Macaca mulatta: one gene and its partner. Each later gene encodes a partner of the first gene's protein in a complex. Links are inferred from orthologs where the notes say so. Each region holds a gene or a part of one and is shown in the gene's direction. Other genes may lie near its edges.

Evidence for each region. The genes of interacting proteins can lie anywhere in the genome.
Region 2: BCAS2 (region 1) and CTNNBL1 share a complex: the UniProt entries of both Homo sapiens proteins name them as parts of the PRP19-CDC5L splicing complex. The link is inferred for Macaca mulatta from reciprocal best matches to the Homo sapiens genes BCAS2 and CTNNBL1.

The regions. Positions count from the first base shown.
Region 1 is NC_133406.1:125,671,690-125,675,409, forward strand, and holds the start of BCAS2 (pre-mRNA-splicing factor SPF27), read left to right. Parts: upstream 1-840; 5' UTR 841-864; coding exon 865-957; intron 958-1,064; coding exon 1,065-1,157; intron 1,158-3,720. UniProt on the Homo sapiens protein: Required for pre-mRNA splicing as component of the activated spliceosome. Component of the PRP19-CDC5L complex that forms an integral part of the spliceosome and is required for activating pre-mRNA splicing.
Region 2 is NC_133415.1:90,599,174-90,602,823, forward strand, and holds part of CTNNBL1 (beta-catenin-like protein 1), read left to right. Parts: intron 1-1,292; coding exon 1,293-1,399; intron 1,400-3,650. UniProt on the Homo sapiens protein: Component of the PRP19-CDC5L complex that forms an integral part of the spliceosome and is required for activating pre-mRNA splicing.

The DNA.
Region 1 (3,720 bases):
GCGGATCACGAGGTCAGGAGATCGAGATCATCCTGGCTAACACGGTGAAAATACAAAAAATACAAAAAATTAGCCGGGCATGGAGGCGGACGCCTTGTAGTCCCAGCTACTAGGAGGCTGAGGCAGGAGAATGGCGTGAACGCAGGAGGCGGAGCTTGCAGTGAGCCGAGATCGCGCCACTGCACTCCAGCCTGGGCGACAGAGTGAGACTCCGTCTCGAAAAAAAAAAAAAAAAAATTAAAAATTAGCCAGGCGTGGTGGTGTGCACCTCTAGGCCCAGCGGCTCAGGAGGCTGAGGTGGAAGGATCGCTTGGGCCTGGGGGGGTTGAGGCTGCAGTGAACTATGATCGCGCCACTGCACTCCAACCTGGGCAGCAGAACAAGAGCGTGTGTCCATAATAAAAAGAAAGAAGTCCGGCACAGAGGAAGAGAAGATTAAGGGGAGACGGTGGCAGTAAGCAGAGGTGGGAAATCAGTTATCTCTCCCCGTCAAATCCTGCAGCCAGTTCCCTCCGAAAGTGTTAAGGGGCTCCCGTTCCAGATATCAATGTTTTGGAGGAAACGAAAAGCCCTAACTTCAAATCGCCACCATTCGCTGGCAAAAAAAATACAGTAAGCAGAAGACAGGAAATTGAGGCCTTCCGCTGACGCAATGAAGCCAAGACTGACGTCACGTCCGCCCAAAACAAAGCAGCCCGGCAATTTCTAGATACCGGGCGGACCCGCCTTCAAAATTAGCAACTGAGCATGCGCGAACGTCAATATGCCGGGAACGTGATTACATCAGTGTCAGGCGCCGGCGTATCTAAATAGAACTCAGTTTACGCAGACGCAGAAAACGCAGGCAAACCTGAGGTCCTCAGAATGGCGGGCACGGGTTTGGTGGCCGGAGAGGTTGTGGTGGATGCGCTGCCGTATTTTGATCAAGGTTATGAAGCCCCTGGTGTGCGGGAAGCGGTGAGTGCGGGGTGTCTTTGTAGCTGACTCACTGTTCGCTGGCTCGGTACCGAAAGAAACATGTTACAATTTGCCGCTTCTACCCTGGCCCCAATTCTCTTTCTAAGGCTGCAGCGCTGGTGGAGGAGGAAACTCGCAGATACCGACCTACTAAGAACTACCTGAGCTACCTAACAGCCCCGGATTATTCTGCCTTTGAAGTAAGTATGTCTTGAGCCCGGGTATGAACGAGGATTCCTGTGAACCTTTATTTTGGATTGAGAGCTTCAGCTACGTAAAAGTGATTTTTAAATTCCAGTTTTAACCATTGCCTGCATAGGTACCAGTCTGTTGAAAACAGCTAGATAGATAAGTCTTCTCCGAGGTTCTTATTCTAAGATCCATAGGAAGACTTTCTGGGACTCCACGACTCACTTAATGCAAAAATTTGTGGCCACAATTCTTTGAGATAGGATCCATGCGTAAATTCTCAAAGGGACCCTCTCCTGCCAAGAGTCACTCTACAGCAGGTGATCTAGAATTTTTTAGTATGTATAAGCCTAATTACCTAAGCTCTTTAGAACCACTGGAGAGTGGCGTATTAAAGTCTAGTTATTTACCAAACGTTTGTGGTATGACTGAAGGGACAAACCATATCCAAGTGTATACTACTCTTTTCTCAGCCTTCTCCTTTTTTCTATAATCTGTCCGATGTTTTTATTAACACAGTTCTGATTAATGTAGGCAAGAACTTTCCCTGATACGAATACTTTCCAAGTGCTAGGTGCCATTCTAGATTCTGAAATCATAGAGATAAAAATATCTGGGTTTTAAAAAAATATGTATTTTGCTGTATTTTAATTTTTCTTTTCTTTATTTAAGACAAGCATCGTCTCCAAAAAAAGATAGGGTTTCTGAATACAGAAAAATACAATACAATGAGGAGCTAGATATATAAAACAGAAAGTTTACAATAGTATGTATAAATGTGTAATAATATGTAAAGGACCTGTAGTGGAGGTATATATAAGGACAAGAGAATTAGAGAAAGGAGTGCCCATGCTTGCCTAGGGAGTCAGATGCTGTTCTACTGCACACAGTGAGTATGATACTATTTTAAATGTATAACCTTGAAGTACACCCAAGATTCTAGTTAGGGTCTAATTAGCTAAGTGAAATGTAAGTTATTTCTAAATTATTGGATTCAAGTATTTCAATATGTACAGCTTGGAGGTTTTTTTCCCATTATACCTAATCGTTTATTTATGAAAGGATTGTATTATTAAAAGGCAGTACTTAGCTGGGTGTGGTGGCTCACACCTGTAATCCCAGCACTTTAGGAGGCTGAGGTGTGAGGATCACTTGAGACCAGCCTGTGCAACATAGTGAGACCCTTTCTCTACAAAAGAAAAACTAAAAAATTAGCCAAGCATGATGGCATGCACCTGTAGTCCAAGCCACTCAGGAGGCTGAGGTGGAAGGATCACTTGAGCCTGGAAGTTCAAGGCTGCTACAGTGAGCCATGATAATACCATTGCGCTCCAGCCTGGCGACAGACTGAGATCCTGTCTCAGAGGGAAAAAAAAAAAAAAAGATATTATTTACATTAAAGTAACATGAAAAAATAGTTAAGTTTGTTGTTTTTGTTTGAGACGGAGTCTTACTCTGTCACCCAGCCTGGAGTGCAGTGGTGCCATTTCTGCTCACTGCAACCTCCACCTTCCGAGCTCAAGTGATTCTCCTGCCTCAGCCTCGCGAGCAGCTAGGATTACAGGTGCCAGCCACCATGCCTGGCTAATTTTTGTATTTTCAGTAGAGATGGGGTGTCACCACGTTGGCCAGGCTGGTCTTGAACTCCTGGCCTCAAGTGATCCGCCCACCTCATCCTCCCAAAGTGTTGGGATACGGGGTGAACCACCACGCCCTGCCTTGGCTAAGTTTTAAGTAGAAGACATATGTTTCTATGAACGTGTTTTCCTATGCTTTTTCCAAATATTGTTACCTAGGTGTAGATGTTAACCACGTTAAGAACTAAGTACAGTGGCTCACACCTGTAATCCCAGCACCTTGGGAGGCTGAGGCGAGTGGATCACGAGGTCAGGAAATCGAGACCATCCTCTACTAAAAATACAAAAAATTAACTGGGCATGGTGGCGGGTGCCTGTAGTCCCAGCTACTCAGGAGGCTGAGGCAGAAGAATGGCCTGAACCCGGGAGGCGGAGCTTGCAGTGAGCCAAGATGGCGCCACTGCACTCCAGCCTGGGCGACAGAGCGAGACTCCATCTCATTAAAAAAAAAAAGAGAGAGAGAATTAAGTACAGTAATGCTTCTTGGACTGATTTCTGACGTTTTCAAATAACTGCATTCAATCACAGACTTCTTATAATACTTTTGCCAGTTTTTTTCCTTCTCTCAAATACCTTTGTAATTAGTTTACTGATTATTTAATTAGCAAACTCCTGGGTTCAAATGATTCTCCTGTAATTAGTTTACTGATTATTTAATCCTTTCTTTTTTTGAGACAGAGTCTTGCTCTGTCACCTAGGCTGGAGTGCATGCAACTCCTTGGCTCACTGCAACCTCTGCCTCCTGGGTTCAAGCGATTCTCCTCCCCCAGCCTCCCAAGTGACTGGGATTACAGGCATGCACTACCATGCCCAGCTAATTTTTGTATTTTTAGTACAGACAGGGTTTCACCATTGTGGCCAGGCTGATCTCGAACTCCTGACCTCAAGTGATTCACCTGCCTCGGCCTCCCAAAGTACTGGGATTACAGGTGTGAGC
Region 2 (3,650 bases), on another chromosome or scaffold:
CCAGAAAATTCTGTATGGTCTACTAGCTTTTTTCTGCATTCTCTAGGCAGGGTTACTAAATTCTTGATGCTACTTCAGGATTCAAAGTACCTGTCTGAATTCCTTCTCAGCATCTAGTAAGGACCAGGCAAAGTAATATATAAGAAATGCTCAGCAGTGACTGTAGCTAATTAACAACCATTCTTAGTTAACGCACTGTACAAAAACAGGCAGTAGGTTGGATTTGGCTCATGGGCTGCAGTTTGCTAACTTCTGCTGTAGGAAAAGATTAAGGGTCACTGTCACTGACCCAGAGTTTGACCTTAAACAATTCTTTTAAACCTTTCAGTCTTATCTTACATGGATAGCAAAGGAAGACAAGGTAAATGTATAATAATATTATCTAATATTGTTGCTTACTCTGTGCCACACAGTGTGCTCAAGAAATGTTTGTTGAATGAGTGAGTCTTTAACACCTTTTCTTTTTTTTTTTTTTTTGAGATGGAGTCTCCCTTTGTCACCCAGGCTGGAGTGCAGTGGCACAATCTCAGCAACCTCCGCTTCCGGGGTTCGAGTGATTCTTGTGCCTCAACCTCCCGAGTAACTGGAACTACAGGCGTGTGCCTGTATTTTTAGTAGAGATAACGGTTTTTCCATGTTGGCCAGGCTGGTCTTAAACTCCTGACCTCAGGTGATCCACCCATCTTGGCCTCCTGAAGTGCTGAAGTGCCGAAGTGCCCAGTCAGTGTTTAACACCTCAAACTGAATTTCCTGTGTTACAGATAGTGGGCATTATGTGAGACATCGAAAGTGATATACACAAAAAGAAACATGTGATTACAGGCCCTTAATCCTCATTGTAATCGGGGAGATAAAGTGTGTACTGTGGCCGGGCACAGTGGCTCACACCTGTAATCCCAGCACTTTGGGAGGCTGAGGTAGGTGGATCATGAGGTCAGGAGATCGAGACCATCTTGGCTAACACAGTGAAACCCCGTCTCTACTGAGAATACAAAAAAAAATTAGCCAGGCGTGGTGGCATGTGCCTGTAGTCCCAGCTACTCAGGAAGCTGAGGCAGGAGAATTGCTTGAACCTGGGAGGTGGAGATTGCAGTGAGCTGAGATCGTACCACTGCACTCCAGCCTGGGCGACAGAGCGAGACTCCATCTCAGAAAAAAAGGTGTGTACTGTACATTTAACCCAGAAAGATCAATGGCAGAGTGAGGTGGGGTATAAGAGCCACCGGAAAGTAGTGACAGTGAATGTGAAACCCCTGGGGACTGAAGTTGTTGCATTTGTCTCTTTGTACCAGGAGGAGCCATTGGATGAAAGCTCAGTGAAGAAAATGATCCTCACATTTGAAAAGAGATCATATAAAAACCAAGAATTGCGGATTAAGTTTCCAGACAATCCAGAGAAGTAAGGTTCTGTTCTACTGACACCCTGTCTCCTCTGTGGCGTTTCGTTGGCTACTTTTGTTTTGGGTTTGGTTTGTTTTGGCTTTTGTGATTGGGGCCAGGAATCCCAGGATGACCTCCATGTTTGGGAATTCACTAGAAGGACTCCTAGGACTCAAAGTCAGTGATACTCAGGGCTGTGGTTTATTACACAGGGCACACAACGGGATCAGCAAGGGAGAAACACAACATCAGGTGGCGTCTGGAGAAATTCAGATCCAGGCTTCCTATGTTTTTTCCTTCCCAGTGGGGGGGATCATACAGACATGCTTCTTTCTTCAGCAGTGAAATGCAAACATGTGTGCAGTGATACAGATTGAGACTCTGAGTTCAGGGTTTTTATGGAGGACTGCTCATGTAGGCATTCTCTGCCAGTAATAACTAACACAATTGTAGGCTCCTGGAAGGAAAGCAGCTGTTCAGTGCCCTGGGCTGACAAAGCAGCAACCTTATCACTTAGGGAACATTTCAAAAGCCAAGTTCCTGGCTGCCAGCCTAGGGCCAGCCTTGTAAGCCAGCCCTTTTCAAGATCAGCCCTGCTATGTTAACTCTCCTGCATTATTCTTTTCAATGCCCAAAGAAGACGGATCGTGCCTGCCATTAGTGATAGCTTTACTGTGGAGATCATGTCAAAGACTCTGAAGTTAGACAAATATTGGTGTGATACACACATGCCTTTGAATAAGTCACTTCCCCTTTCTTAGCCTTGGGTGTCTCATCTGTATAAGGAAATAATGCCTTCCTCACAGAGTTGTATGAAGATTAAAGGAGAATAATGGTAAGTGTTTAGCTTAGTACCTGGCACATAGTAGGTGCCCATGAGATGACAGTTAACGTGAGTTTTACTGCACTAGCACCTTGGTGCACTGTGAAGTGCTAATATGAGGAATCTGGCATCTTTCAGTCTGTCTTGAATCCTAACCAAGGGGACTTTCACATTTATACAGTTTTAATGTTCTAAACCTCTCTTTCTCTCCCTATCTTTGTCCCTCCCAGGACATACAATTTTAATGAATCTTAATATGCCCAAGGCCCCCAGGCAATTAACAGTTGAGTAGTAAAGTCTTTGCACTCAAGTTTATAGGTTACTAGGGAGACTGACTATAAAGGCAAGGTAGAAGGAAACAGACACTTGAAAAGAGATATGAGCAGAGTTCTGTGGGTGCTTAGAAGAAGAAACAGTATATACCAAGTTGGGAGCTATTGAGGGCGTCACAGAAAAGATAGTAGTTGAGTTGAGCCTTGAAGATTCATTTTTATTAGGCAGAAAAGAACACAGAAAGGCATGCCAGGCAATATGAGGAGCATGAACAAAGGCCCAGAGGTGTCAGAGGGCACAGAGTCTTCACGGCAACCTAGTGAGGCCAGCGTGGTCAACTGTGTTGTCCCTATGCTGTGAATGAGAAGGCAGGGTGGGGAGAATGTGGTTACTGGGCCTAGGGCCACAGCCCTCTTTGATAGTAGGAATAGCTATTAATAGAGCAGGGCCCAGCTTACCCAGCACCAGAGTCCTTTCAGGTTTTGTACTGATCTCCACCATACAGGAGCACTGTGTGTGTGTGTGTGTGTTTGTGTGTGTGTGTGTAATTACACGAGTAATGCATGAATAGATTGTCATTCTGAAAATACCAGTGGTACATGAGTAGAGTGAAAAATGAAAGTTCTCCTTCACTACTCTGATCTCTTTCTATTCCTCTGCCTAGAGGAACCTTGTGAACAGTTAATTATGCGAATGTATTTGTTTCTACTCAAATCACACCGTACATATTCTGCACCTTGATCTTTTGGGTCATATAACAGATCTGTCCATGGTAGTACAGGCATGTCTACCTTGTGTTTTTTTTTAACTGGTGCATAGTATTACATGGTTTGGAAATACCATGACTTATTTAGTTATTTTCTATTGATGGACATTTTATTATTTTAAATATTGACTTTTATGAAGAATGCTATAGTGTACCTACTTGTATATGTGTCTTTGTGTGCATATGTTTCCGTAGGATAGATACGTAAATTTGGAATTCCCGGATTGAAGGGTATGTACATTTTAATGATGGCTACTGCTAATTTTCTCACTCTATTTTTAAATTCTCCTCCAGCAGCAGCATCTCTTTTCTTGTGTTCTTGCCCACAATGCATGTGATCAGTCTTTAACATCTTTGCCATTTGTTTTGTTGTTATTTCTGTACTCAGTGGTTCCTGCATTATACTCT